Linked DNA regions of Nothobranchius furzeri. The main gene of each other region encodes a partner of the protein of the gene in region 6 in a complex. Links are inferred from orthologs where the notes say so. Each region holds a gene or a part of one and is shown on either strand. Other genes may lie near its edges.

Region 1 (3,417 bases), on a different chromosome or scaffold from region 6:
ATCCAGCCCCTGTGTATATAACCGTCTTGTCTCTGTGTTTTGTTGGTCCGTTGTCTTGTCAGCGTTGTTCTAGTTTCCCTTCTGTGCTCGCTAGGTTCCTGCTCATAAGTTTGACCTTTTGTTTTGGCTTTCAGTGGTTTGTATGCGAGGCTTAGATTCAAGCCCTTTGGATTTTTTGCAACTCCTCCTAAATAAAGGATTCTTATTTTTGCAATCACTCCTGCCTGTGTATCTCTGGGTTCTTGCATTTTGGGTTCAAGCCTCCTGCCCTCAACGTGTAAATGCTGTTTTAAAACAAAAGCTTCTTTGTTTGGGATTGTCTGAACATGCAATCCCATTGTTCACAGACTACTTCAAGGACATAACTCAATGCCTTAATTGTGATGGGTTGTCCTCTGAATTTTTTAGTGTTCACAAGGGAGTACCACAGGGCTCAGTCTTGGGACCCCTCTTGTTCATTATGTATATCAATGACTTATTACAAAATGTGTCAGATGCTTATATGCACTTTTACACTGATGACACAATCATTTACTGCTTTGGAACTTCCCCCACTAAAGCAGTTGAATTCTTACAGAAAGCTTTTGGTCCAACAAACACTTTGTAAAAATTTGAGCTAAACATATTTGGAATATAATTCATGAGAAGGGTCAATAACTGGAAAAATGAGATTGTTTTCATAAGAAAAGGGATCAGTTGAACTGTAATGACCCTGTTTAATAAAACACAGCTGCTGTTTTTGTGTCGTGTTGCGTGAACGTGATTTTTTTTGTTTACAGTTAAATAATTTAAAACAATTTGATATGTTTGATATTTTGATTTATTCTAATAATTTCCCAAAAATGATTTAGAAACAACGTAAGTGAACGGAATGAAGAGATATTTATTATCAAAAAACAAACATTTGATGACTTGATCTTATTAACAGTACAAAAATGCAAAAGAAGAGCTTGTTTTTAAATCTGAATCTACTTTATGTCTGCATTGTTCCTTCTTTCACAATAGCTGAAGCCAGATTTCTGGCCAGGGCGAGTCTCAGCATCTCCACCTTGGTCACCTCTACGTCTTCCTCCTGAAAACAGAAAGACAGATTTTAAACGTGGAAACGGCAGTAGATAATCACTTTAACATCAAACTGGGTTTGGTTTGTGTTAAAACTATGAAACAGGAATGTCCAGCTGCTGGGACGAGCTGAAAGAAGAATAAAGACCTGCATGGGTCTGCCTGATCCAGAAGCAGCAGTGATCAGAGAGGAGGTGAGCTCCTCTAAGCAGTACATCAACTCATAGGTTTGCTCTGCAGAGAAGATCACCTGAAAACAAGGAGAACAAGTTACTCCACTGAAACTCCAACTGTTCGGATTTTTTCATCCACATAATAAAAAATGACAAATAGCTCAATTTTTGATATGCTAACTCTTACAAGAAACATGTTTAGTAGTCAGTTGGTTTAAATGGTAACTAGGCAGTTTTAGCACCCCCAAGAAATCTCCTCGCTGTGCGTTCGTCTTTTTAACACCTTAATCTAACAGCTGAAATGACTCCTCAGCCTTCATTAGTGTCTACAGGAGTGAGTCGTCACCAAATCAAACATATCAGATGTGTTCCCGATCCAAAACATGCAGGAAGCAGACTGCAGCGCCAGGTGTGTCAGCTCAATTTTTTACCGGCACTCTGGGGTTGCAAGTGGGATATTCTGCCACATGGGGGGGTGGGGGGGGGGGGAGAGATGATAGGAGCTGTGTGGCCTTTAATTAACCTCAAAAAGGGTCATTTTAGCACAAACTGGCTCAAGAAAATGACTTCAAAATATGAAAAAGTTGCAAAGTGCCCCTTTAATAAAACAGGGGTAGTAATGTTCACATTAAAAATAACATACGGTAGTGTGTCACTCAAAAAAACTACATAAATTAATTAATTTTTAATGATGAATAAAAAGTTCCACAAATACCTACTTAAAGATAGATATTACTTATTCTATTTGTGCAGCATTTTTCATGCACACAAAACTCTGACCAGGAGGTCACAAATGATCTTAAACAGGATCAAAACATTCATTTAACAACATCTGAATGCTCCAGATTTGTGCATTTAACCCTCTGATGCATGAATTATGAGATCTTCAACCATGATTTTTTAAACAATTTGTTTCATTCATCTTTAGGTGTGAATTAAACAAATTTCAACAAATATTCTTTGTAACATTTTGTTAATTTACAAATACTTTATTACATGTCTATCTCAGTGGACAGCGTGCATTCTGAACATGAAATATGTTGGCTTGCCTTACTGAAGTCCAACTGGAGAGGCTCACATGCAATAAAGTCTTCAACAGCTGTGCTTAATAGCAAAAATAAATAAATAACTATTTTGAGTACCTGTCCACTGTAGTGACCATTATGCATCAAAGGGATAAACTAAAGTTCTTGATTTTGTAATAACAAATCTACTTTAAACCGATGTTCAGGTGTGGACTGACCTCTTTCTGCTCCAGCAGAGGCAGAGCATCCGTCAGCAGCGTCATCCAGAAGCTTTGGGGAGCGATTTTAGCCGTCATGAGGGAGAGTAGCAGCTTTGCAGCATCGCTGAAGCACTTCTCTCCGTACAGCTTGTGGAACTCACGGTATTTTCCTGGAGAGAATCATTTCTATCAAATCATCCTCCAGAAATTCTCACCATCACATGTTGTTGCATCAAGCGGATACTGGTTCTGTTTCTATTAGTCTTGTGTGTGTGTGTGTGTGTGTGTGTGTGTGTGTGTGTGTGTGTGTGTGTTCAGGCTCCTACCAAGGAAGGTTAGCCTGTCGCTGAGCAGCATGGTTGAGCCCAGGTTGTCGATCAGATCCAGATCAGAGAAGGTGCCTTTGGCGCAGTAATCCTGCAGGAACCTAAAACACAAACACAAAAACAACTTCAAATCATTTTCAGAGAGAAAGACATTTAGTGAACTAATAAGCCCAACAGTGATACTTATAAAAAGCTTAAGAAGCATGTAGGTAAAAGTTAAATGTGTTCCTGGAGAATGAAGATGAAGCTGTCAGTTGTGTATATTTCAGTAAGAGCACCACTAAAGGGATGTGACCTCTCTGAAATCAGGGTGGCAAACGCAGCATCTTTGGCTCGGATGCTCCAGGAGAGAGCAGAGCCCAGTCGGTTGTTCCTTACAGCCCGCATGGCCATGATCTTACAGATGCTCCGCACTGGGACCAAAACAACAAAAAACAAACCAGGTCAAGCTTTTCCAGCCTAGCTTACACCAGAGAGATTAGCTTTGTGACACAAACTGATAAAAAGGACGACCGAGCCCCTACCCTGCTCTGACATCTGCCTCTCCTCACAAATTCGGAGCACTTTGAGCGCTTTGCGCTCCGTGTCCAAAGGAACTCGCTCGATCTGCAGCTCCAGATAGACGCGGCCA
Region 2 (4,251 bases), on a different chromosome or scaffold from region 6:
ATATTCATTGATTCATGACAACACCCCGTAAGGTCACACAATCTAAGGAAGCCGGGGAATTCAGACACCGTAACATGTATCTGTTAACTAGCAGGCTAAAGCAGAGCTAACGTGTTTCCTCCACTGAGAGGAAAAGTAAGTCTTCAGTTTGGACGTCTTTTAAACCGGTGCGTTTAACGTGGTGGAAATGGTAGAGCTGCGTTCAACACTACAAAGGTGATGCGCCACCTTAAAAAACAAACTACTCCGTTTGCTGCAGCAACTCAGCTAAAAACATGCAAATGCCAAGTTAGCTGTATCGCACTGGATGACTGTGGTTGCAAACGTCGGGCTTCTCCTTGAGCCACGGTATGAGCTGCTGTTTCGTCTCAACCCACAGCTCTGCAGGTGTTTTGTAGAGAAGTGTGAGCCTGCTGCTGAGCACCTTGTGCCGTGCCTGCCCTGTCGTGGGATTGCACATTGCTCAAAACAGCTGCACGCCAAGTTAACTATTTGACATAAGAGCGAAGAGACAAATTTTAAATAGATTTGTAACATTGACACATTTCTTCTGAATGTTCTATCTGAGCCAGAGTTTTATAGAAGATAAACTAACGAAATGACATAAAAACAAAAACAACAACAAAAAACCACAAACAATAATAAAAAGCTTTAAAGGACAACTTGTATGTGTTCTCCTTTTTCTTTTCCTTTTTAACACATTCCTGAAGTATCGGATCGGGACTTGGTATTGGCAGATACTCAAAATCAAATGACTCAGATCTGAAGCAAAAAAGAGTGACTGGAACATCCCTAAAGGTGACACCTGACCTGATAAAGCCCCGGCTCGGCTCACCTGAAGGCTGACTGAAGCTGAATCCTGAAGATGAAGGTGTGGTGGTGTTACTCCCGAATACAGGTCCTTGCCCAAATCCAGAGCTCTGGCCAAACGCCAGGGTTGTGCTCTGTCCAAACTGTGTTGGCGCTGTGTTGGCGCCACTCGCACCAAAGGAGAAGGAACTTGCGTTGCTGGCAGTGGCAGACCCAAAGAGACCTCCTCCTCCGGTGGTCCCACTACTAGAGGTGGCTCCGAATCCAGATTGGGTAAAAGAAAAGCTGCTGGCTGATCCAGAATTGCTGGAAGGTTGGGCGAACAGGTTATTCTGACCAAACACGGATTTACCAAAGCCGGTTCCAGTTGTTGCACCAAACCCAGAAGAGCTAAAAGCTGTGGGAGCTGGAGCTGATGATGCCGGAGGTGCTACAGGCTGCCCAAACACAGCAGCAGTGGTGGTTGGAGTACCGCTAGACACTGAAGGGGTGATGGTGGTGGCTGCGGGGGCAGCTGTGTTGATAACAGGTGGGACCCCAACAGAACTGCTGTCTGTAGTTGCAGGAGTTGATTGAGTGAAGATGGAACCGGGTTTTTCCGATGGGGGCACTTGGAATGCTGCTGGGCGGGACTGGGAATCAGGGGCAACAGATGCAGCAGGTGAAGTGGACACAGGTGTGGTGGTGGAGGAGTCTGGGGGGGCTTCTGTTGTGGATGGGGCACTGACTGGTGGCGGGGGGACTGCTTCAGCTGGTGCAGTGAAGGTAGAAAGGGGCACTAGAGTAGAAACAGTAGTGATAACAGGCACTGCAGGGGTTGATGCTGCAGGTGTTGCCATGGTTACTGCATTCGGTGCAGGTTCTGGTGCTACAGACTGACTAGTGCTGTCTTCAGTAGAGTCACTTGTAGTAGGCTCTTCTTCGGGAGGTGGTGTTGGCTCTGAAGGCTGTGGGGGGGCTTTTGGTTCCTCTGAAGAAGGTGTAACAAGGCTACTGAAAGATGTAGGCAAAGTGGAAGGCACTGAGTCGGATGGGGGAACAGAAAACGCCGGCTTGGAGGTCGATTCAGGAGGCTTGAACAAGCTGTTAGGCGCCGCCCCCTTGGACAAGTCAGCAGCACTAAAGCTAAATTGTTGCGCTCCCACACCCAGGCCAATACCAGCCTCCCCAAGTGTAAACTCTGCAACTGGATTTGGTGCAGCATCTTTGGCTTCTTCTCCTTGACCCACACGTAGACCAGAAAAAATGCCCAGTGTCTCTCCTCCAGTCAGCTTTGCTGGCTGTGGCTCCACCCTGGGAGCAGGGGGAGATGTGGTGGATGGGAGTTTCCCTGGTTCAACAGATGCATCTGAAGCCAGAGTGGGAGACCCAGTGCCAAGACCAGATGAGGTGGGCTTCTGGATGAGGGAGAACGGCGGGTCTCCAGACTGACCAAATACAGCTTTGCCATTTCTGAAAGTGAACTTGTTCACATCTTTAACTGTAAAGAAGGGAAGCAGAAATCTGTGATTATGAAGGCATGAATGACCATTTCACGGTTTTATGGACAGAACCAGGTTTCTGGATAGTTTTACCTTGTGAGGATCCGAGTCCTTGTGAGGCTGAGGTTAAACTGAAGCCTGCTGACCTGCAAGAGTCAAAATACAACAGTGGAGCTAACTTTACATTTATGATTCAACATAATTCAAAACACGTCACTCCTCCTTGAACCGTCACCTTATCGTGGTGGAGGAGTTTGAGTGCCCTAATGATCCCAGGAGCTATGTTGTCTGAGGCACTTTGTGCCCCTGGTAGGGTCTCCCATGACAAATTGGTCTTAGGTGAAGGGTGAGACAAAGAACGGTTCACAGGATCTTTCATGGACGTAAAAACAAAGAGTCGGAGTACCCGGCCCGGAGGGTTACCGGGGTCCCACCCTAGAGCCAGGCCTGGGGTTGGGGCCCGTGAGCGAGCGCCTGGTGGCCGGGCTTTCGCCCATGGGGCCCGGCCGGGCCCAGCCCGAACCGGATACATGGGCTCATTCAACTGTGGACCCACCACCCGCAGAAGGAACATGAAGGGTCCGGTGCAGTGTGGATCGGGTGGCAGACCAAGGCGGGAGCCTTGGCGGTCCGATCCCCGGACAAGAAAACTGGTTTTTGGGACATGGAACGTCACCTCGCTGGCGGGGAAGGAGCAGGAGCTTGTGGCAGAGGTTGAGCAGTACCGCCGGACTCACCTCGACACATAGCATTGGCTCTGGAACCCAAGACCTTGAGAGGGGTTGGACACTCTCCTTTGCTGGAGTTGCTCCGGGTGAGAGGCGGAGGGCTGGGGTTGGCATTTTGTTAGCCCCAAGACTCTCTGCCTGTGTGTTGGGGTTTACCCCGGGGGACGAGAGGGTAGCTTCCCTGCGACTTCAGGTCGGGGAACGGGTCCTGACTGTTGTTTGTGCTTATGGGCCAAATATCAGTTCAGAGTACCCACCCTTTTTGGAGTCCCTGGGACGAGTGCTAGATAGTGCTCCATCAGGGGACTCCATTGTCCTGCTGGGGGACTTCAATGCTCACGTGGGCAATGACAGCTTGACCTGGAGGGGTGTGATTGGGAGGAACGGCCCGCCTGATCTGAACTCAAGTGGGGTTTTGTTATTGGACTTCTGTGCAAGTCGCAGTTTGGCCATAATGAACACCATGTTCGAACATAAGGATGCCCATCGGTACACTTGATACCAGGGCAGCCTAGGTCGCAGGTCGATGATAGACTTTGTAGTCGTATCATCTGACCTGCGGCCGTATGTTTTGGACACCCGAGTGAAGAGAGGGGTGGAGCTGTCAACTGATCACCACCTGGTGGTGAGTTGGATCAGATGGCAGGGGAAGATGCCGTGTAGACTTGGCAGACCCAAACGCATAGTGAGGGTCTGCTGGGAACGCCTGGCAGAAGAACCTGTTAAGACGGTCTTCAACTCCCACCTCTGGCAGAGCTTTGACCGCGTCCCAAGAGCAGTGGGGGACATTGACTCCGAGTGGGCCTTGTTCCACTCGGCAATTGTTGAGGCGGCTGTTGCTAGCTGTGGTCGCAAGGTGGCCGGTGCCAGTCGTGGTGGCAACCCCCGTACCCGCTGGTGGACATCAGAAATTCGGGGAGCCGTCAGGCTGAAGAAGGAGGCCTACAGGGCGTGGCTGGTCTGTGGGTCTCTGGAGGCAGCAGACAGGTACCGGATAGATAGCCAACCGGGGTGCAGCAGTTGCAGTTGCTGAGGCAAAATCTGGGGCGTGGGAGGAGTTTGGTGAGGCCATGGAGAAAGACTATCGATTGGCTCCAAAGAGGTTCTGGCAAACTGTCCGGCGCCTGAGGAGAGGAAGGCAGCAACTCGCTCACACTGTTTACAGTGGGGATGGGGAGCTGCTGACGTCAACTGGGGCTATAGTCGGACGGTGGAAGGAATACTTTGAGGAG
Region 3 (5,018 bases), on a different chromosome or scaffold from region 6:
TAAAAAGATGAGGAAGGTCTGTAATTGATATCATTAGAGATGCATCAATACCACTTTTTTTCCAAACCGATACGATACCGATACTTGAATCTGATTACTTGCCGATACATATTACCGATACTTCTACCACACAAAAAATACAATGAACTGGAATACAGGTTTAATTTAATTTTCTGCTTTCAACAGGAAAAGACTGTGATGTAGATTATATATATATATATATATATATATATATATATATATATATATATATATATATATATATATATATAGATAGATAGATAGATAGATATAGATATGTATATGTATATATATACATACATACATTAATAAAAATGATCACAAAACTAAAATTTTAGGTGAACAGAAATGACAAGTTACAGTGAAGCCACTTTCAGGCAGCTGCATTGCTATCGGTTCCTTGTATTGGTTAACTTTTATCGATACCGATACCAGTATCGCATCGGTGCATTCCTAGTTACAGTTTGCTTCAACTATGAGACAGAATGTAAAAAATCCTGGAAGTCACACTGTAAAATTTTCTAAGAAATTATTTGTATCATGGTGCAGAAGATACATATTTAGTGCCTACATATGTGCAATAATTCTGGTCCTCACATACCTGTTACTTCTTCTTTAAGAAGCTTATCTATCCTCCACTTGCTGACTGAATTAGTGGCAACTGGTATCTGTATAAAAGACACCTGTCTACACCTTCAGTCAGTCAGACTCCACCATGGCCAAGACCAGAGAGTTGACAAACGACATCAGTGTCAGGATTGTACACCTGCACAAGATTGGCTTGAGTAAATCCACAACAGGTAAGCAACTTGGTGGGAAGAGATCAACTGTTGCAGCAATTATTAGAAACTGGAATAAATACAAAATCACTGACAGTATTCCTCGACCTGTGGCTCTGTGTAAGATCTCACCTTGTGGGGTACAAATGATCTTGAGAATGGTGAGGAAACAGTCCAGAAGTACATATGGGGAATTAGTGAATGACCTGAAGAGAGCTGGCACCACAGTGACAAAGGTTACTACTGGTAACATACTACATTGTTATAGATTAAAATCCTGTGGCACTCAAAAAGTCCTGGCGATGTTAGAACATCCACAACTTAGTTTAGAGAAAGAAGATTTTTCCTATGAAAGAGCACTCTTTGGTGGGCAAAAACTAAAAGCAGCACTTTTTGGCAACTCTGAACTCTGGCTGCTTAGAATTTCTGAAAGTTAAGATTTAACTGGGCTTGGAATAATAGTTTTATAAAGCAGCTTGAACGTATGAGACTTTAACAGCTGGTGGAGAGGGTGTCCCCCCACCCCAAAATTTTTTTTAAAACAAAATCAAGATTTGAGGTTCATAAAGACCTTGTGAGTGTTACATTAGCACGTGAAGTCATTAGAATAATTCTCTATGTCCAAATTCACCAGATATTGAAAATTTTAGGAGAATTTAGGTACCTTACATAATATACAGGCCCTTTCTTCTTCTTTATGCAATGGTGATGTGTCAGAATATTTTTGATTCATCATTGGTTTGTATGTGTATATATATATATATATATATATATATACCGGGCATATGTATATCCATCCATATGTATAATATAGACTGTGGTATCAGTTATGAACACGAGGTGGCAATAGTGCTCTAATTGACTGCATAGAGCAATGACAACGACCGGGTAAGCGGCCTTGAAGAAGTAACATTAACCAACCAGATCTCGCCTAACTGCTGCCTGGCAACCAGCGACCAATAGGATTCCTGGTGTGTGAGCGCGGATAAACGGATTTGTTGTGTTTGCTGGAAGCTGTAGCCACATAGCATTCAGAATAACATTTGGTTTAAAGGTTTTATAAATTCACCTGGAATGAGTTTATCTCTAAGGTAAGGAGCTAACCTTTTGTCGCGAGATGTGGCTGTTACAGTTCAGTTGAAACCGGTGGTACGTCGAGATTTGTTCCCCAGTTGAAAAACGTACGCCTTCGCTTGTCTCGTCAAGATGATTTCGTCCTGCCAAATTGTACAATTATAGGCGTAGATGTTATTTTTTTTATCAGGATAAGACATTTATGAGGGAACGAGTCCCTTGTGTATAACTGTAAATTGAGTAATATTATCTAATTGTATCGTAATCTGAATTAGATTAGAATTAGTGATATTCACTAAACATGATGAATTTCACAGCTACAGCAATGACCAAATGATTAAGATATATATTTTTAGGGATTTTCTTGAAATAATATTGCTAAACACAACAGTTTACAAAGAAGCTGGCGGAGAAACGGTGGGGGACCCGAATGTACTAGTTTTTTGTTTTGTTTTGTTTTTTTCCATCTGTCAATAAACAATTTCCCCCAGACTTTTGGAGGTCCTCCCAATGTTTTTGGTAAATGTGGGTTGTTTTTGTTGTTGTTGTTGTTGTTCAGCAGAGGCTTTGGAGAATGAGGTTTACCTTATTGTTGACACATGACCTTAAACCTTAACCAAGTTTGACCTACAAAGCTTTAGATGTTCTTCTGGGTTATTTTGCTTTTGATTTTTTTTAGAACAAGGCATAAGGTAGATTTTTTTAAGATCCTTTAGCCTACCCTGTGTCATCAGAGAGACCCCAATAAACATTACAGAAAATGGTTTAGTTCTCATTGGATAACAAAGTGTATGGGTTAATGCATTAATAAGTCATGGCTGTGATACAGGTAGTGTCTGAGGTGAGACTGCATGTGTGTTTGTTTCAGCAGAACTGATCTTGCAGCTGAGACAACCAAGCGCAAGAAGAGGAGGGAGCTCACCGAGGACCAAAAGCATGAAATTAAAGAAGCTTTTGACTTATTTGACACGGATAAAGATAAGGAGATTGACTATCACGAGCTGAAGGTAAGAAAATGGGCCATAGTGGTGGTTGTTATGGTTACCTTATGGTTTTTGTGCCTGAAATAATGCCGTATATAAGTTATGCTTTTATAACCTCATCATTCCTATTTTTCTTTAACTGCTGTGAATGTGGAGCACCAGGTATTTATGTATTATTATGTAAGTAAAAGTAACTAAATACCATTTAATCACCTTTTGGAGAAACGCTAATGGGTTTTCCATGTCTGAAGGCACCCTGCTGAAATAAAGCTCCAGGGGAATTGGAGCTAACGTTCTACAGCAATAACATTTATTTGTTGTTTTAGTGCTAGTTACTAATTGTTCTAATCCTGAATTCAAACCAAAACAACATTTAAACATCTTGTCAGGTGGCGATGCGCGCTCTCGGTTTTGAAGTGAAGAAAGTGGATGTTCTGAAGATTCTGAAGGATTACGACAGAGAGGGAAGTGGGAAAATCACCTTTGAGGATTTCAGCGAAGTGGGTAAGGTGGTCATCGGCTCTGGTATTACCTCATAGCTTGAGGTGCTTCATTAGCTACTAAACCTTTTCCCTACCCCTCAACAGTTACGGATCGCATCTTGGAGCGAGATCCCAAAGAGGAGATCATGAAGGCTTTCAAGCTGTTTGACGATGACGAGTCAGGAAAGATCAGCCTGAGGAACCTGAGACGGGTTGCTCGAGAACTCGGGGAGAACATCAGCGACGAGGAGCTACGCAGCATGATCGACGAGTTTGACACAGACGGGGATGGAGAAAGTAAGACCGGAGTCTGAGATGAGAGCAACTCTGTCTCTCTTTTGTTGTGATTTTGTGTCTGATTAGAGCCGCAGATGCAACAATACCAACATCATCACTGCATCTTCTGGCACACACAGGCATTTTAATTATTTATATGATTGTTCCTAACATTGTTGCTTTCACTGTTAGACCAGATCCTGTCACGTCAGCAGGCATCTGCTGCCCTGGAACAAAATAGATTTACTAACGACAATGTGTAAACATGTTCAGTTAAAGTAACAAAAATCCACTGCTGCTTCGCTTTTTGTTTGTTTTCTTTCATTCTTGCGTCTAAGCTTTCCAGGTAAATCCAGTAGATCTGACCAGGTGTTTTTCCCTTCTTTTCAGTAAATCAGGAGGAGTTCCTCTCCATCATGACCAGAGACCCATGAAGAGGTTTCCCCATCTGTAAGTTGGACTCTTTGCCCATATTGGGAGGAGATATGGGCCTTGTTCTCTTGCTTCTGAGGTGGACTGGACTTTATCAGGAGCCTGGAGCTTTGTTCTGACTTGGTTTGATAAATAAAAGCACCAGATCGTGTCTGGACCAACATCTGCTCACACTGCTCAGTTCCTCTCGTAGACATGAAGTGTCAATATGATGCTGACCTGCTGGCATTTCTTTAAGAAGCGAGCTTTTATTCATGGAGTGTGTTTGTGTAGAAGACGAGTCTGAAGCTCCGTTAGGAACGTGTTAATGTGATGTAGTAAAACACAGAAGATCAGATCTGTTTCACTCGTATCCTATTTGACCTGTTGCAGTTATTAGTTAAATGTGGCATATTTATTTTTAAATTGTTTTGCCAACCCTACTCATTTGTCATTTCCCAAAGAGCCAGAGTCGTCAGACCCGGCACCATCATACTTTAATAAAGTACTTTCAAAGTTCAGCATCATGTTTGAATGGTTGTTTTGTGTTTGACATGTGCGGTGGCCACAGAAGAGGCAGGAGAGCTTCAGAGTTTCTAGTAAAACACGATAAATTTAGTGTTAAACATGAAATACACACCCCTCAGAAGGTTTGCTCCAGGCTTCAGGAAAGGATAACAGTTGTTGAACCTCAGAATCAGGATTGTGGCTTTTGTCCAGTTCACTGAACACCGGATCAGTTTGTTGCCGAGGTAATCCAGTCCACGTGTGTTTGGTTAGTATCTACATTCTTAGCGGGGATGCATGGATCCCTTTAGGACCATGTAAAACCAAAAGAAGAGGTCCGTCCATGTTCCCAGTGTTGAGAAACTTTAATGTCATGGTTCTGCTGTGGTTTAAACCATGGCCGTTGGGGTGCTCTGGGCCAGTTCACAGTCAGGAGATTCAGCTTCTCCAACTATAAGGTCATGGTTCTGAATCGGATAAAGGTG
Region 4 (4,251 bases), on a different chromosome or scaffold from region 6:
CCCCAAGCGTGGGGATTTGACTTGACGCCGGCTGACTTGTGACTCATATGATCAAATCTCATACCGACCATTTTACTATTGTCGATTGTTTTCATCTGTTTTTATGTGTTATCTTTATGTGTTATATCTCCCACTATTATTAAAATTTAGTATATAAACCGTTTCATGCTATACCCGTGACTCCAGTCATTCTTAAACAACCTCCAATTCTCCCCGAACCTAATTATTGGCCCATTTGTTTATTTTTTCTTTTAATTATCTTATTGTATCCTGTAATCCGGTTACAGAGCCACTGGATGAAAACTTAGCCCGTAATCGTAAGCGGAGAGAGGATTAATCACTTTGGTCTGAGTCAAGATTTTTGCTCTTTTTATTTCGGTTTCCTTAACTCGTTCAGTGCTATTGACGACCAAAATCGTCATTTGCATGTTTTTACTGTGTGGGCGTCGGACGAGCCCCCGCACTGTGAGAACAAACATCTCAGCTCTAAAGCCGATCTTCATCCGCGTACGTCACACTTCACGTGATCAGGAAGCAGAACATCCATGTGTTAGGAGATCGTTTTGGGCCGCTGCTGTAAAAAAAGTGAGGCGCGAACCAGAAAAGCTTCTGCCGATCACAATTCAACAACGGATTATGAAAGAACGGATAACGCTCGAAACACGCGGATTCTTCCTGATGTAAGAGGTGAGTCTCCGCTTTGTTTTGGTTGTTTTGGCGTCGACATCATGCTAGCGCTCAACCTTCTGTGGCTCTTAACAAAATGCTAAAAAGGCTGAAAAACACTGGCAGTGAATGAGTTAAGTTGTGATTTTTAGAAAAAGTTCACCCACCTAAACACAATAATTTAGGCCTGATTCTACTGTTGTCCTCCACTTGTTTGATTTCTTCAGATTATTTATTAGATTAGCAGAAATAAGCCAATATTTTCCTCAGTGAAATCAAAATATGAAGAAATTAAAGTCGTTACTGGGATGCACGCCGCCTGCTTCCTTTAGAGCAGGGGTGTCAAATATGCGGCCTATGCGGCCCGTGGGTCGGATCCGGCCCGCGAGATGGTTGTGTAAACTTTATTTTCATACTTTACAATGTAGAGTGAAAATAAACTTATCTTTGTGAGCAAGTTTTCTCTGTAATGAGTATAAATAAAACAAAGCTGCGCTCAAGGCTCACACAAGAACTTGAATCACATCCTGAAGATGGCCGCCACTCAGGCTGTGACTTCTGATGTTGATGTGCTGGTGAAAGCTAAAAGATGTAAAGTAAAATGAGTCAAATATACTTTAAGTGCTGCATTAAACTGATCTAGCCATGTGATCTGTAAGCTCTTTGAATCACTAAGGAATTTTTTTTTATTTATTGATTTTATTTTTTATTTATTTTTCAAATTTTCAAGTACACTTCAGGTGTTGTACTTGTACTATTTTGGATACACTGTCCTCGGGCTCCAGCCTTGTTTTATAATGATTGTATTAAAACAAAGAAAACAATCTGAAGTTGTTTTTAATTTACCGGTCCGGCCCACTTGGGACTAGATTTCCCTCAATGTGGCCCCTGAGCTAAAATGAGTTGGACACCCCTGATTTAGAGTTTTATAGTAAGATGTTGAGAAATGGATTTCTAGTTAAACATTGGAAGTGATGCTGGACAGTGATGAGTACGACTCTCAGCTACACACAAGAAACTTCAGCTCAGCTGAAATGATATTCTGCTGACAGACAGAAGCAGAAAGACTACAGCAGAACCTGAAGTCACTTACAACCACGTCAGTCATCATGTCGTCCTCCAGCGCCAGTTGGACCCGATCTCTGCAGAGACAAGCAGGTGAATTAGACACAGAGGGGTGGACGTTTGCACCACCAGACAGACAGACGGGTGGATTTCGCTCGACCAGTGAGACGTGATACCTGTAGAGTGAAGCAACGAGTCTCCAGGTGCAGCTCTCCTGCTGCAGCAGCCAGCAGACTCCTGCCGTTTTACTGTTCTGACCCGCTCTCAGCACCACCGACTGAAGCACATCCACCTTAAAGGAAACCAATCCTGTTAGCTCTGGGCTCCCGGTGCTCAGGGGCCTCATCAGAAAGCTCACCTACGCACAGAACAGGGTCTGAAAACTGCGCAATTACTTTCCTCACAAACTTTGCGAATTATACAGGAAAACTTCACGTAAAACTTTGGACCTGGCGGAAGCACATTTTGGAGGAGGTGAGATGGTAGCAGGTTTATTTAGGACACATTTTGAAACTTCTAGAACCTCGCACGAGATTTTAAGATCCTCCTTTTCACATCGAAAGCTCTTAATAGTCAGGCTCCTTCATACATCAGTGACCTGATTATTCCCCATGTTCCTGACAGAGTACTTCACTTTTGTGGTGCTTGTTCTTTAAAATCCCTTTAAACAGGTACATTTACTCTGACGGTGATCCGAAACATTAAACAGATTTATCAGACATGAAAATGGGTCAAGGGTGAAAAACCCCAAGGCGTTCCCTGGCCAGGTGAGAGACATAGTCCCCTCACCGTGTCCTGGGTCTACCTTTAGGTCTCCTCCCGGTTGGACGAGCCCAGAAAACCTCACCAGGGAGACGTCCCGGAGGCATCCTGACCAGATGCCCGAGCCGCCTCAACTGGCTCCTCTCGATGTGGAGGAGCAGCGGGTCTACTCCGAGCCCCTCCCGGATGACCAAGCTTCTCACTAGAGCCCTGCACGGGCCTAAAATCTGAGCCCGTGTCCGGCCCGGCCCGAGCAGGTGGAGCCCCAGCCCGACCCGGTCCGAAAAGGTTTTCAGGATTCTCTGGCCCGACCCGAGCCAGACTTTTTTTTTTTTTTTTTTACCTTTCATAATGTTTTAGCGTGAAAGAATGCTCAGCATTCTAATTATCTGTGAGAAGCGTTCTGCAGTAAAATAAAAAAAAAAACGCATCAATGCAGCTTTTTTTCTAACAGAGCGTATTTTTGGAGCGGCAGATGAAATTTACGAACGCTATATTAATCGGATGCGTTTGTAAATCTAATCTGCTCTGAAAACACGCTCTTGTGCAATTAGAAAAAAAGCAGCATTCTAACTTTCTAACTGCAGAGCGCATTTCAGAGCGGCAGATTAGATAAACGCCCCCAATAAGCGTTTGTAAATTGAATCTGCCGCTCTGAAAATGCGCTCTCCAGTTAGAAAAAAATACAGCAGTGAATGCTGTATTTTTTTAACTGCGGAGCGAATTTATTCACAGAAAAATAGAACGCTGCCGTTTTCATGAGAATTAACGAATGGTTTCTGACATCAAAGTGGACATAAAATGGCATATTAGAACAGGGGCACATGTTTCAATCAGCTGTTTGAGAATAGGCGCATTTATAAACCACACAGACCTTAACTGAGCTAACGGGTGCCGGTGCGTGAGACGCAGGCAGGTGCTGCTGCGTTCAAGTGATTCCGGTTTTTTTATGAATTTGATTAAAAATAAAGGCGCCCGGCCCGTGTCCGAGGTAATTACACAGTCGTCGGCCCGAAGCCCAGCCCTCGGGCCGGGCCGACCCCCGGGCCTAGGGCTTCAGTGCAGGGCTCTACTTCTCACCCTATCTCTAAGGGAGAGCCCAGCCACCCTGCAGAGAAAACTCATTTCTGCCGCTTGTGTCAACGATCTTGTTCTTTCGGTCACTACCCAAAGCTCGTGACCATAGGTGAGGTTAGGATCGTAGATCAAAAAATAAATCAAGAGCTTCGCCTTCTGACTCAGCTCTCTCTTCACCACGACAGACCGGTACAACGCCCGCATCACTGCAGACGCAGCACCAATCCGCCTATCGATCTCACGCTCCATCTTTCCCTCACTGTGATACTTAAACTCCTCCACTTGAAGCAGGACCTCATTCCTTGTCCTGTCATGTTTTTAACACTTTGTGAAATGTGGAAAACATATGACGAATAATTGCTATTCATGGCAGCAGAAATCTAAATAATTTACAGAAAATTAAGTTTTCTCACTGTGAGGGTCATCTTTTAAGCAGTGGGGCATATATTTCAAAATATACCCCACTGCTTAAAAGATGACCCTCACAGTGAGTGGACGCAGGTATAAACAGAAGTTTTAATGCCTAAATGCACCACTAATGGAACTAATAAATCCTGATAAAGGCCCTCAGAGGGTGTGTTTAAGCTCCTCCTGACTTACCTTGTCCTTGCAGATGTTCTGATAATCCTCCACAAGCTCAAACACAGCAGAGGAAGAATGTTTCAGAAAGGAAGTAAGGAA
Region 5 (3,281 bases), about 1.5 Mb from region 6:
ACGGATCAAATCTTATTTAATTTATATAACGTTTGGAGTTTGATGATCAATCCAAGCATTTTCTGCATCTGGTCATCATTCCAAGCCTGTAAGCCTGAAGCCTTAGTCGTTTCCTTATTAACAGATTTTTGTCCTGAGAAAAACGTCAGTGACATCACAGTGACATCACAGTGACATCACAGTGACAGTGTGCAGACATTTTTACGGTGAGTCGACTCAGGAGAGGTTAGAGATGGTTGAATAAATTAGTGATTTGTTTTAATGGACTTCATTTTAAGTGCTGTTTATACTGCAATCATGTATTTTAAAATGGAAAATGTAAAAAAAAAATAGTATTTTATCCGAGGATGTTTTCCCGCCCACTGGACATGGGTGTTCCAGACGAGTATCGGACATTTTCCTCCTGACGCAAAAGCAGCACAATCTGCGTGTAAAAGTTTGGAAAAGCTGTAATTAATTGTCTTATTTAAAGTAATTTATAGTTTGACGAGCGTGGTTCGTTAATCATGCATCCTGTTTTTGTTTTGCCCACTAACCCACAGCGGCCGCCAGCCGTGGAGAAATGTGCCTCTAATTTCCAACGCGAGCGTTCGCCCTGCTCCGTTCCCTTTCCCTCCTCAGTATTCCAATAAGAGCACAAGTCCTGTCTGGTAAACGTAGAGCTGCATTTCTGTCTCACCTCTTTCCAAAGGATTGAAAGTCTCACGCACTTTAGGCCTTAAAAGTGTACCTTTAAAGGAAATAAATGACATTCAGTGAGTTGTCCTTCTGGTGGTCAGTGTTGTGGTGCTACTCCCACACCGCAAGTCTTGTTTTTGTTCTGCTGCTACAGTTTTACACGATGAGTCAACCAAACATGGCTGAAGCAGCGGTCGCAGTCATCAGAAACGACGCCGCGTCCCACACGGGACAGAAAACCGCGTCCCACACGGACGCTGGTCATTTGGGCGTCATAAAAGTTCCAAACACATTTCAAGTACTTAGAAAATTTTATTTTCACAAAAAGGAAAAAAAACATCAGATTAGAAATCCCTCTGAACAGGTAGAACTATCGCAGGTGTTTATCAAACAGAATCGTTGGCATAATTAGAATATGAGACGTCTGGAGCTCTACAGCGATCCCGACGGCCCGTAGAAGATCTGGACCGGTGGGCATGAATCAGTTTAAACTGACGTTTATCTTCTGTTGACATCAGCCTTTAGCGTGTCGGAGCAAGCCGCGTATTCTGCGGACCAGCGCCTGGATGAAGGTGTAGCGAGAGCGGACTTGACTGTACGAGCTTTCTATGTCGAGTAGTTTCCTCTGCAGAGTCTCGCCAAATCCGGACGCCATGTCACCTTTCAGCTGCACAGAAACAGCAAACAGGACGAAGGCCTTTAGAATCGGGATAAAAGCTAATGAATGTGGTCAACTCAGCAGTTAGCCACATCTTCTTACCAGGTCCAGATCTTGCTGGCTGACTCTCGACAGACCAAGGCCACGGCCGCCGCCGGCCTGCAGGCCCCCCAGGGACTCTGGAGAAAACAAACGTGAGTTTTTAAGAACACCTCTGTATAAACAGTTTTGTTATTAGGGCGAGACAATATCGGTATCGGCCGATGTTGGTCCTGTTTCAACATATCGGTTCGATAAATAAAACCGGGCTGATACTACCAACCTAACCCTAACCCATGAAATCATCTCAGAAGCATGAATGTGTGCATAATAACGTAAATTCAGCTTTAATCATTTTAATTCTACACAAAATCTTCTGATTTTAGAAGCATTCATGTCAGGATGTCAGTATCGGCCATAACAGTGATATCGGTATCGGTGCATCACTAATTACATGTCTGAGTATTTATAGCTGCGCTTGAGCCAACGACTGCATTAATGATCTGTTTAACGTAAACCAGCAGTTGGAAAGCTTAACCCACCATCTGTGAGGCGGGATCTGAATAAACTGGATCCGGGCAACAAGGAGTCCCTAGGGTCAGAGGGGGTGCAATACAACAGGTAGTACTCCAGGTGGCGCCATAACACAAATAAACTGGTCTCGATCACATCTGAGGAAGACTCGTTAAGGCCTGAAAGGAGCGAGCTGACGAACCGAAGGAAAACTATTACTGGAGGTTTTATTTGGCTGCAAGCAAAAGCCGAAGGATACAGGAGCATAACGCCAGCAGCTTGGCTCTGTTGTTGATCAGCTGGACCAGTCGTCTTTTAGCTAGCAGGCTCCTCTGGACTGAGGAGATCTTCTCCACCCCTCCTGGACCGGACACCAGGCCTTGGCACAGCTGCACAGAGGAAATGTGAATAAGAACCACGAGAAGGAGGACGGCCTCCTCCAGAAGACAACAGCCCTGCTGCCCTCTAAAAGGTCCGATCTTAAAGATGCAGTTCAGCGAGACCTGCTGCCAACTTCTGTCCCACTCAGTCAGCCAATATGTGAAAGAGATCATTAACGTAGAAAACCATCAAATATGTCAAGTCATGAATGAAAGTTGCCTCTTTGAGCTCCTCTGGAGGCAGCTGGTCCAGAATCTGCAGCTTGGCCAGACCGTGTTTGTGGCTCTGGTGGAACTGGCAGAAATCTGCAGCGCTGTTCCTCAGCAGGTACAGCACCAGGCCCAGGCTCGGGACCCGCGAATGGGCAACCGATGGCAGAGAAGTCGAGAGATCTTTAAAAAGAAAACAAGAAAGAGGAAACCGGACGAGATGAGTGTTTCTGAATGATGAAACTCACTAGACGTCTAAAGTGAGCGGCAGAAAGAGGAAACACATTTAAGGTGACCATCACCGACCCGAGGGCCTGCCGTCTCTGCCGGCCGGTTCGCTGCCCGACGGGCTGAAGAGGCAGATGCTGAACTGAGCCTGAGAAGAGCTCTGCAGCAGAAGAGTCTGGCAGTACTCCATGATGTTGGCGCACACCTAGGAGAGAGAGGCACTCGTGAGCCGGGTCACCGACTAGACACAACAACTGAGCACCAACGATTAAAGTCAAACCTGCAGCATGGCCACCTCCATCTCCTCTCTGTGTTCGGCTGAATCTGCAGGTGCAGAAATCTCCGCCTGCTTCAACAACCTCTCCCGTTCCCCTCCTGCCAGGCGACTCAGCAGCGCCAGACACAAACGCTGCAAGAGGCACATCTGTTACCAGCTGCACACCATGAGGCTGATTTAGGACCCTGGAAGGTTCCTGCAGAGAACATTTAAGGTGGTCTCACCTGGAATCTGTTAATGTGACCCTGGAACTCCATGAGAGCAGCACTGTTGAGCTCTCCACCCGTCTCCAGGACAC
Region 6 (4,964 bases):
ATAGAAAAATAATTAGATTAATTGTCTAAATAGTCATTAGAATATTCGACTATTCGATAAAATAATCGTCAGAATAATCGTTTACCCCCAGCCCTGACAGACAGACAGACAGACAGACAGACAGACAGACAGACAGACAGACAGACAGACAGACAGACAGACAGATAGACAGATAGACAGATAGATAGATAGATAGATAGATAGATAGATAGATAGATAGATAGATAATAGATAGATAATAGATGATGGATAATAGATAGATAATAGATGATGGATAATAGATAGATAATAGATGATGGATAATAGATAGATAGATAGATAGATAGATAGATAGATAGATAGATAGATAGATAGATAGATAGATAGATAGATAGATAGATAGATAGATAGATGATAGATGATAGATGATAGATGATAGATAGATAGATAGATAGATAGATAGATAGATAGATAGATAGATAGATAGATAATAGATAGATAGATAGATAGATAGATAGATAGATAGATAGATAGATAGATAGATAGATAGATAGATAGATAGATAGAGATAGATAGATAGATAGATAGATAGATAGATAGATAGATAGATAGATAGATAGATAGATAGATAATAGATAGATAGATAGATAGATAGATAGATAGATAGATAGATAGATAGATAGATAGATAGATAGATAGATAGATAGATAGATAGATAGATAGATAGATAGATATAGATAGATAGATAGATAGATAGATAGATAGATAGATAGATAGATAGATAGATAGATAGATAGATAGATAGATAGATAGATAGATAGATGAATAGATGGATAGATAGATAGATAGATAGATAGATAGATAGATAGATGATGGCTTGCCAAGCTAAAATCCAAGGGGATTATTTCCAACACTGAGCTCAGAATTTTAAGTGTTTTTCTTTTCACTTATCTCTGATAAGAGACTGAATTAATCACAATTATCTAGTTTTACAGTGTTTGTTATGAGCCCTATAACATCAACCTTCCTGAAAGCCTCACTGTGTCACAGCACAGAATCATATTCCACTGATGTCAAGGGAATAATATAAGCAATCAGTTAGAAAACATTTGGCAGCCTTAAGTCCTGTTGGGGATGTTTAAAAAGGCTTGGCACACGCAACCATTAGAGCATTAAAAGTTTATCTTATTCATCTTACATGAGGCTTGCACTAGTAAGGCATCTGAAGCATTAGAGACTTGCTAGCAGGTGTCAGGACCCAAGGCTTCTCGTTTCATTCATACCTGTATGTCAGTGTCCTTGACTGGTTCCAGGGGCTCAAAGGTGGTGGCAGCACTTAGAGTTTCCAGTCTCTGTGAAATGTGGAAGACGTCTAAACCTCTGGTACCAAGGAGGATGGACCTGTTACAAGAACAAAAGATTGGAGAGGTTTCAACTGGCAGAGAAGTAATTTTACATTGACACCACTAGATGGCAGGCTAGGCTGGCAGGCAAAGTAATCTATCAATTGAACATCATGCCTGAGATTAATAACCTGGGGAAGAAAAGGGTTTAATAACCAAAAAGGTTGCTTACGCTTTCACATCTGCAGCATCTTGAGAGGTGCGAGTTAAGGTGCGGGATCGAAGCCTTTCCCCAGCCTGCTGGATCTCCTGAAGGTTCCTTTCCACATGTGGCAGTTCAGACACAGCTTCTGTTTCTGCAGCCAATTGTTCTGCCTGCTGCAAAAGCTCTCCAAACCCTTCTGCATCCATGACTCTTAACAGGTAGAGAAGTTTATAAATGTGATTTACTTGAAATGAAAACACTGAACAGTTCTCTATGGTAAGTGTTTTGCGGGTCTGGGTTTGTGCAATAAAATATTCCACTAAAAAATATATAATATTTTCATAATTTGCTTAACTTTAAAATAGTATGTGGAATATAAACAAAAATACGTTGTGATTTTACAATGTTTGACACTGTACAGACTTTGTGTTAGAGGTAATTAAAGACAACAGATTACATGACAGGATAGCTTGCCAGTATCTCTGTCAGTAATGACAGAGTGCAACTGTCTTGAAGGGAACATGATGCTCCGTAATCAAATAGTAAACAACTACAATCACAATCATTTCAAACTCCTTAGTTAAAAAACAACTGAACCCAAAAACATACTCTATGTTTTACAGTTTATGATTCATCTTAGATGCGTCAGCTCAGAGCCCAAAGAAGTCAATGTTCACTTTAGACAAGTGTGCACTTCTACAGTCACGTTATAACTTTTATGATGCATGGATAAAAGCTCCTCCTTGCCTTGCAGCTTTTTGATTAATTAAATAAAAACAAGTTTACCCTGTGTTTACATTGAGATACAGCATAACTGAAGATATAAAACACTACTTTTAAAAATTGGATGGTCTAACCTATAATTCTTTATGCTGCCTGGAGTTATAACAAACTGTACTATTTATCTACCAACGTAAAAATGCGTCATGGGGGAAAAGGCTTGAAAGGTAAACATGAGAAAGATTACAGCTGAACAGTTGCAGCGCGCGCATGATGTGCTTGACGAGTTGAGAGATCAATCTTTACGGACGTCAACAGAATACCGTTCGATAGATAAGTTCAGACATTGAAACTGCTTAAGAAATGTGAAAACTCGTACCAGACATTCCAAAACCGTGGTAGCATGCTACAACATAGCCTAGTTACAATCAACCGGCGACGCTAAACGGTTAGCGAGCTGGCTAAGATGCTAACGCTCGCACATGTTTCGACTTCATTTAAATTGATGTTAAATTTCTCTACAGTTGAATGGAGACGATTATTATACCTGTTTTAAAGTTGGATGAAATTACAGTTCAGCCTGTTCGCCTCATGTAAGTGAATAAATGTGCTTTTTAGATAGTTTCGTTCACAGGCAAGCGTAGTCCGCAGAAAGTATACCCCGGTATTTCTGAAGTCGTCGGTGATTGGTCAATTCAGACTGTATAACGGTGCGCATGCGTCTGTCGTCACATGCCTCCTTCAGGGTACTTGGGGAATCCTAGTCAAAAGCAAAAGATACCTATTATTTTCATGTGTGTCATTTTTTGTTTTCCGACTAACATAACATATTTAACAGTGTACATATTTGTTCTTTGTACGTATATTTGTATCCCTGCATTGCTTTAAATAGAACTTATATTAAAAATGATTAGAAGCATCGAGAGTAAAATACTTGGGACACATCACAACCCTAACACCGTACACGTGAAATAAATGAAACAAATCTTTTCATTTTTCATTTATCCCTGCCACTTGTCTTAATTGATACTTTTAATAAACATATATATTTTAAATGACCTAATACAATGCAGCCAATGGAATGATATTTTCTGTTTGTTTTTTTGTCGGCTCTAAACAAAAACACTGAAGCGTGAATCACAAAGAGCAGATGGGTGCTGAACTCCTGCTTCCAGACTCAACTGTGCAATGATCTGGTCATCTGGGGCACAAGCCCCAGAGCTACTTCATTATGTAACACAGTTTATGGGCACATGGACATAGCTGCACAACTGTGTGACGTTTTGTGATAAAACAAAAATCTTCACACAAACTTATTTTGTTCTTGTTCCATGAGCTGCATACGTTTCTGTCAGTGAAATAATTCAAGTGGCACAAAATTATTTAGAAATGAAAAATCTGACATTATTTGAAACAAGAGTGAAAGAACGTGCCACAGAAGTTTTTCTTTTAAATGTCCATATAAACTCAACATGTCCTCCTTTAAAAACAATAAAAGGTATAGAAATTAATGAATGAGCTTGTATTTATACTAGTATATAGTAAGTTATTGATGCCTTCACATATTGATGCTATTTTAAAAACATAAACACCACCAGAGAATGGAAAGCTCTTTTTTATCTGACATCTTGCGACAACGTTGTGATCTTTTCTGGCACGCATTGTTCTAAATCATCCTTTTTATTAAAGCTCAAGTTCTTGTGAACCACTGTTTAACACGTGTTACTTTTTGATATTCCTTTTTTACATCATAGTTGTCAAAGAGCTGATTCATAAAGTGTAATATTGTAAAATCATCTAATTTTGTTGTGATCCAAAAACTGGACTTAGAAAAATAACTTTTTCATAATAATCTTTTTAAATAGTTCTAATACTCAATAAATACATTCTGTTAAACCATCTACCTGAATTTGACATTAGTTACTCCTAAAGCTGGATTTACAATTTCTAAATAATTACTGATGATCTATATCCATGTTTTTTCTCTCCAGGTATGTAGTTTATAAGAAAAATACGCTATAAATATATAAATATACAACAAAAATGATAAAAATTCAAGATTCTGAAAATGAGACAGCATCCTGGAAAAATGTCTTACAGAATAATTACAATTTAAATGAAGATAAATATATAAAATTCACATCTGAATGCCAATCTAAAATGTTTTGACTTCTGCTTTACTTTAATTCCTGGTTGAGGTATTTTTATTCACGGTGTTCAATTACATGCAAGGCTGCACTGTTGTTTTAATTGCTTGCACTGTTTTCATGATGGCACAGCGCTCTGGCTGGCCTTGAGCTGATTATAAGAAGCTAAATAAATAAAGGATGATATGGTAACTTTGTTGATGTGTGGATTTTGTCTCGACTATCTCTGATTGCTGCTGTGCACCAAATCTGTGCATGTGGGACATTACAGGACTGAACATAAACATAAGATTAAATAAAAGAATACCTTAACTGATAAATGATAGAAACCTTTATAGCTCAAACCAGACCAAGTGTTTACAAAACAACCCAAACCTTTAAATGAGCTTTATTTCTATAGAAAACTTAAGATTGGCTTAAACATCTGCCACTTTGCTTAAAGAACTTTTAACCATAATACACACATCCTCTCTCGAGTCCACATATTGTCCAATGAAAGCAGGTGAAGGAGAGAGGAGTCGAGTCTCCCAGTCCGAGTCATTACTTGAACTGGTTATCGATCAGCGTGCC
Region 7 (4,903 bases), on a different chromosome or scaffold from region 6:
AAAACAGAGCTGTGCTAATAGACATCCTACACTCCACACATCAGCGCGTTCATCCAGGGGACTGTTAATGAGAATCTCTGGGGCACTAAATCCACAATTAATCGGGACCTCCATCTTTGAAAGTTCTGACGTTCTTCCAGCATAACTGAATCCGTTCAACTTTATGTGTAAACCGTCTTCCAGCAGCTCAATAGTTTTTGCTGTTATGTTGTTATGAGTGATGCCTGCTTTTTTCAGCGTATTTAATGCTGAGATAATTTGTTGAGCGATCGTTCTAATGTCCTTAATGTTCAGACGCTTGTTTTCTTGATTCTCAACAAAGTTTAGCAATGTTGTGTTAAGTTTTTCAAGAGCAAAGCAAAACCAGTCGCCGTAATCAAATGTTTCGATGATTTTCACAAACTTCTTTTCATTAGGAAATAGGTCATTGAGATACAAAAGCAGGTTCGCTTCTTGTTTATACCGATGTAAAACTCTCTTGTGAATACATTTCACATAATACATTTCCTCATTTTGATCTTGGCAAATGGTCAAAACTTCACCATTTATTTCCACAGGTGGGAGTAACTTAACTATATACGTGTTGGTTAAACTTTCAATTCTGGTACCGAGGGCTATTTTAAAACTGCTCGACATGTTTCTGAAAGCTTGTCTAGCTGCGTGCTATTCTGCTCGATCTGCTAATGTAAAGTAACTGTATATGACGTCACGTCTGCGAATTTATGCACTTTGAGGCGCATGCGCATTCTAATTAATTGTAACCATCTGGAGATGATCTGTCAAGTAGCTCCACTCTGAGGCGCATGCGCATTCTAATTAATTGTAAGCACCTGGAGATTAGCCAGCTGTCAAACAGCTCCGTCTGCGTGTCGGCGGTCACGTGGTTAATGTTTTCCTCTTCCAAACAGCTCAGCGCTGCCAGCGTCTTCTGGCAGAACTGGATGCTGAAGCCATCATTTTCCCATTTCTACAGTAATATTTTGGTGATTTTTGACAATAAAGTGTATTGATTACTGTAACCGGCAGCTGTCTGTTTCGCTTTATATAGAGGAGCGCTGCCGCTGCAGCGTCCTTGACAAGCCAGACAGCCATTCTAGATATTTATAGTTGTTCCTAGCAGTAATTAACATCCACACCAACTATTCAGAACGACTATTTCAGATATCTGGAATGTAACTCCTAATTCCGTTTCTTCTTTCTACAATGTTCATTCTTGACAGGAAGTCTGTAATTGTGGAAGCGCTGTAGAAGCCAATAAACATGAATGGGAAATGTGATGTCATTTGTTACATTTCACATATCTAAAAAAAACGGTCATGCTGGACAGTAGAAATGTTCTCGTGGATATCTGGAATTTTAATTTCTACTAGGAACAATACAACACATATCCAGTCTGCTTAATGTTAAAACGAGATATCTGAAATAAGTGAAACCAGTTTTAAAATAAAAGAAAATGTATTCAGTGATAAGTAAACAGAACACCTAAATATGAATTCAAACAAAAAATGAAAATTGAAAATGAACAGCAAAAGTGCCTCAGTAAAGTAAAATTTAAAACAAACCTGCTGCAAGGAACTGAAATTAAACGTTTTGTTCAGAGGAGGGCAGTAAAGCATCATTAAGCACAAGTCCAATTCACGAAGAAGAAAGTTTCCGTTTGTAAAGACGTCAGACACTTTACTAACCAATCACAGGGCAGAATCTAAGATGGCGGAATCGGAGATGAGTGTCAGGTAGAAACATAAGCGACTAACTAACATTTATTGTTAATAAATAGTTAAGAGACGTTGATAATGAGTAAATCTGGCTACAGCCCGTGTTCATTTATTAAATCACAACTGTGGCAACAGAGTCATTTAACAGTCTGTTTTAAAAAGAATTAGCACCATGCTCGTATAGCTTAGCATGTGCTAGCAGCTAAACATTTCAAAAGGTTTTTGTAGCGCGGCGCTACCTCACATGTCAACAACAGTCAGAGCTGTTGTCAGCCAGGGAGATTTTTCTGGCAGAGATAGAAAACGCGTGCTGATGTCAAAATTATTACGTCTTGTAGTAAAAGAGGCTAGTCTATTGAAGCTAAACCCATCATTTAGACACGATGGAAAAGACCGTCTTAAGTTGGAATTATTTTAACGGACAGATTTTCTAAAATGAACCCAACAGAACCTTAAACCAATCGTAGTAAATAAACTGTATTATTTAACAGTTTTACCATAAATAAAAGGCTTATTGAGGAACATTAGAGGACATTTAAAAACTGCTGAATCTGTCAGACCGGTGTTGAGAAAAAACTTATGGGATTTCAAAGAGGCAGATTGACAAAGTTGTTTTATATCAAAGCTGGTACAGAAACACGATTTAAGAGAATTTAGTTCAAGGTTTTAAGGAAAAACAATAAAGCATTTTAATTCTGTATCAACCTTTGTATTTAAGGCAGTCAGTGAGGATGTTTGAAGTGTGTGTAGTGGTTCCATTCATATTTAGTTGTATTGTTCTTGGTGATTCAGTACAGTGCATTAGCTCAGCATTCTCTACAATCTGACCTTGATGATCATTTGGGTTTGAATTTCAGTTTTCTTTAAACACAAACTAAATCTCTCTTATTGTGTTTTAAATGCATTGGGTGGGTGCATGTGCAACATGCGTTTGACAAACAAAGATATGTATAACCTGATTGACAAACTTCACATCTAATTGAGGCATAAGGAGTCCGGGCAGGTCTACAGTTTTGCCCAGGACACATTTATGTTTTATCAGTTAAATGCATCTGAGGTCACTCACAAATGCAGCCTGTCAAGTCAAATTTGCATATTGTAGTATTTTCCTTGTAGTGGATCTGCATCATATCTCATTTATTAAAGGTTATTGATTTGCTGACTTTCACCTCTCTTCTCCTCTTAGGAGCTGTAGAGAGTTATGGACCATTTTGCTGGGGAAGTCTGCTCTGAGAGAATCGGTATGTCCTCCTCACTCAAAGAGAGCGTATGCTGAACTTGACCATCCAAAATTTTAGACAATTTATCCATAAGTAATTTCCTGGTTTAACTCATGCTATTCTAACTTCTATATAAACACACACACACACACACACACACACACACACACACACACACACACACACACACACACACACACATTTGTATTTTTGGTGCAGGCTCAAATAGAGGGAGAGCTTGACAAGCACTGGGACAGACTGCATCAGGGACTCAGTTACTACAAGCCACCCAGGTATAATTACATCAAGGTATTTTCACATCAGATACATGAATAAATGAGTAACTATTAGCTTCACCTCCCGTAGTTCATCCTCCGCTGCGAAAGTTAAGGAAAACAAAGATGTTGCACAGCCCCTGAAAGACTTTGGTCTGAGGATTAGTAAACTGCTGGTAAGCATTTAGATCTTTTTATGTCACAGAGGGTGGATTCTTACGTTTTCATGACTGCTGGTTCATAAGGGATTGTTGTAATAATGTTTTAGAATCTTGATGAGCAGCAGAGTGTGCAGCTTTTACAGTGCTATCTGCAGGAGGACTACAGAGGAACTCGTGATTCTTTAAAGGTGTTTGCTTTCAACTTTTTTTGTTCTATAACTTACTAGAAAAACAAAAATCCACTGGTACTAAATCATAGGTCTGAAGAGATTTAACAGTAGTTTCTGTGACAGGTTGTTCTCAACGAGGAACGGAAGAGTCAGGCTCTTCTCCTAAAGGTATGCACCCAAACTAGCATTACGTCACTTCTGTGCCATTTTCCAATCATTTCTGTTTTTACTAGTGTTGTTAATTTTTTTACAGATCGCTGATTATTACTATGAGGAGCGCATGTGTCTGCTCAGATGTGTCCTGCTGCTGCTGACATACTTCCAGGATGAGCGACACCCCTATCGGGTGAGACATATTTCTTTTTTTAAATGCATTTCTTCCTGATGTGATGTTTTTTTGTGTAAATAATCCTTGTTTTTTTTTTGTCAAGGCCGAGTACAGTAACTGTGTCAACAAGTTGGAGAAGGACCTGGTGAACAGCTATCAGTCACAGTTTGAGAACCTCTTCAAGGCTGAAGCACCAACATGGGAAACCCATGGCAACCTCATGGTAAACACTGGGTTTATTTTTACAGCAGCGTACTGTAGCCCCGTCTGCTTCCTTACACTCTTCTTCTCGTTTGCAAGACGGAGAGACAAGTCTCACGGTGGTTCCTGCAGTGTCTGAGGGAACAGTCTCTGCTGTTGGAGATCATCTTCCTGTATTATGCATACTTTGAGATGAGCCCACCCGACCTTGTAAAATTCACCAAAATGTTCAAAGAGCAAGGCTTTGGGTTGCGTCAGACTAACAGACACCTGGTGGACAAGAGCATGGACGTGCTGGTTGACCGGATCGGGTAAGGTCACCTCACTGACTTTGTATTTATGTGTTAAAATTGGATGAATGTATTTATTATTGTAAGATATGAATGTGCTGACAAACTGTCACAGAGAAAAAAACGTGTGTTCATATCTTGTAACCAACTTTATGAACTAAATGTAGTAAAACCATCTTTTTTACACTCATCTTTCTGAATGTCACCAATTCTTTTGTCGGTTTCAACCCGCTCAGTTGAAATGTTCTGTAATCAGCATAAAAGGCTTAAAAAGAAGCAGTTTTATTACTTAGTTAAAAATATATCACAATTATGTTTTTTTTTTTTATTTATGTTTATTTGGCAGACGCTTTTATCCAAAGCGACGTACAATTGTTAGTCTGTAGGGCATGTTGTGATCTGTGGGGGAAATCGGAGGAAACCCACGCATGCATGGGGAGAACACGCAACTCCACGCAGAAAGGCCACACAGCCAAGTTTCGAACCTGCAACCTTCTTGCTGTAAGGCAGCAGTGCTAACAACCGCGTCACCATGTAGCCATC

The links.
Region 1: nup93 (region 6) and nup85 share a complex: the UniProt entries of both Homo sapiens proteins name them as parts of the nuclear pore complex. The link is inferred for Nothobranchius furzeri from reciprocal best matches to the Homo sapiens genes NUP93 and NUP85.
Region 2: nup93 (region 6) and nup214 share a complex: the UniProt entries of both Homo sapiens proteins name them as parts of the nuclear pore complex. The link is inferred for Nothobranchius furzeri from reciprocal best matches to the Homo sapiens genes NUP93 and NUP214.
Region 3: nup93 (region 6) and cetn3 share a complex: the UniProt entries of both Homo sapiens proteins name them as parts of the nuclear pore complex. The link is inferred for Nothobranchius furzeri from reciprocal best matches to the Homo sapiens genes NUP93 and CETN3.
Region 4: nup93 (region 6) and nup107 share a complex: the UniProt entries of both Homo sapiens proteins name them as parts of the nuclear pore complex. The link is inferred for Nothobranchius furzeri from reciprocal best matches to the Homo sapiens genes NUP93 and NUP107.
Region 5: nup93 (region 6) and nup205 share a complex: the UniProt entries of both Homo sapiens proteins name them as parts of the nuclear pore complex. The link is inferred for Nothobranchius furzeri from reciprocal best matches to the Homo sapiens genes NUP93 and NUP205.
Region 7: nup93 (region 6) and nup188 share a complex: the UniProt entries of both Homo sapiens proteins name them as parts of the nuclear pore complex. The link is inferred for Nothobranchius furzeri from reciprocal best matches to the Homo sapiens genes NUP93 and NUP188.

What each region holds. Positions count from the first base shown.
Region 1 is NC_091752.1:54,276,877-54,280,293, reverse strand, and holds the end of nup85 (nuclear pore complex protein Nup85), read right to left. Parts: coding exon 3,311-3,417; intron 3,200-3,310; coding exon 3,082-3,199; intron 2,888-3,081; coding exon 2,787-2,887; intron 2,631-2,786; coding exon 2,479-2,630; intron 1,313-2,478; coding exon 1,211-1,312; intron 1,073-1,210; coding exon 974-1,072; 3' UTR 864-973; downstream 1-863. UniProt on the Homo sapiens protein: Essential component of the nuclear pore complex (NPC) that seems to be required for NPC assembly and maintenance. As part of the NPC Nup107-160 subcomplex plays a role in RNA export and in tethering NUP96/Nup98 and NUP153 to the nucleus.
Region 2 is NC_091746.1:57,211,258-57,215,508, reverse strand, and holds part of nup214 (nuclear pore complex protein Nup214), read right to left. Parts: intron 2,438-4,251; coding exon 2,385-2,437; intron 2,291-2,384; coding exon 836-2,290; intron 1-835. UniProt on the Homo sapiens protein: Part of the nuclear pore complex. Has a critical role in nucleocytoplasmic transport.
Region 3 is NC_091746.1:37,903,760-37,908,777, forward strand, and holds cetn3 (centrin-3), read left to right. Parts: upstream 1-1,730; 5' UTR 1,731-1,874; coding exon 1,875-1,891; intron 1,892-2,742; coding exon 2,743-2,881; intron 2,882-3,246; coding exon 3,247-3,361; intron 3,362-3,444; coding exon 3,445-3,636; intron 3,637-4,005; coding exon 4,006-4,049; 3' UTR 4,050-4,547; downstream 4,548-5,018. UniProt on the Homo sapiens protein: Plays a fundamental role in microtubule-organizing center structure and function. As a component of the TREX-2 complex, involved in the export of mRNAs to the cytoplasm through the nuclear pores.
Region 4 is NC_091741.1:38,092,560-38,096,810, forward strand, and holds part of nup107 (nuclear pore complex protein Nup107), read right to left. Parts: coding exon 4,171-4,251; intron 2,024-4,170; coding exon 1,908-2,023; intron 1,809-1,907; coding exon 1,760-1,808; intron 1-1,759. UniProt on the Homo sapiens protein: Plays a role in the nuclear pore complex (NPC) assembly and/or maintenance. Required for the assembly of peripheral proteins into the NPC. May anchor NUP62 to the NPC. Involved in nephrogenesis.
Region 5 is NC_091744.1:88,207,535-88,210,815, reverse strand, and holds the end of nup205 (nuclear pore complex protein Nup205), read right to left. Parts: coding exon 3,208-3,281; intron 3,116-3,207; coding exon 2,987-3,115; intron 2,912-2,986; coding exon 2,785-2,911; intron 2,662-2,784; coding exon 2,489-2,661; intron 2,278-2,488; coding exon 2,148-2,277; intron 2,047-2,147; coding exon 1,918-2,046; intron 1,516-1,917; coding exon 1,439-1,515; intron 1,346-1,438; coding exon 1,193-1,345; 3' UTR 971-1,192; downstream 1-970. UniProt on the Homo sapiens protein: Plays a role in the nuclear pore complex (NPC) assembly and/or maintenance. May anchor NUP62 and other nucleoporins, but not NUP153 and TPR, to the NPC.
Region 6 is NC_091744.1:86,664,450-86,669,413, reverse strand, and holds the start of nup93 (nuclear pore complex protein Nup93), read right to left. Parts: upstream 2,950-4,964; 5' UTR 2,795-2,949; intron 1,738-2,794; 5' UTR 1,734-1,737; coding exon 1,555-1,733; intron 1,381-1,554; coding exon 1,263-1,380; intron 1-1,262. Other genes in the region: steep1 (STING ER exit protein), read right to left, coding at 4,935-4,964. UniProt on the Homo sapiens protein: Plays a role in the nuclear pore complex (NPC) assembly and/or maintenance. May anchor nucleoporins, but not NUP153 and TPR, to the NPC. During renal development, regulates podocyte migration and proliferation through SMAD4 signaling.
Region 7 is NC_091746.1:61,211,595-61,216,497, reverse strand, and holds the start of nup188 (nucleoporin NUP188), read left to right. Parts: upstream 1-1,647; 5' UTR 1,648-1,707; coding exon 1,708-1,733; intron 1,734-2,901; coding exon 2,902-2,956; intron 2,957-3,154; coding exon 3,155-3,228; intron 3,229-3,301; coding exon 3,302-3,386; intron 3,387-3,478; coding exon 3,479-3,559; intron 3,560-3,664; coding exon 3,665-3,709; intron 3,710-3,794; coding exon 3,795-3,887; intron 3,888-3,972; coding exon 3,973-4,092; intron 4,093-4,169; coding exon 4,170-4,381; intron 4,382-4,903. UniProt on the Homo sapiens protein: Component of the nuclear pore complex (NPC), a complex required for the trafficking across the nuclear envelope. Required for proper protein transport into the nucleus.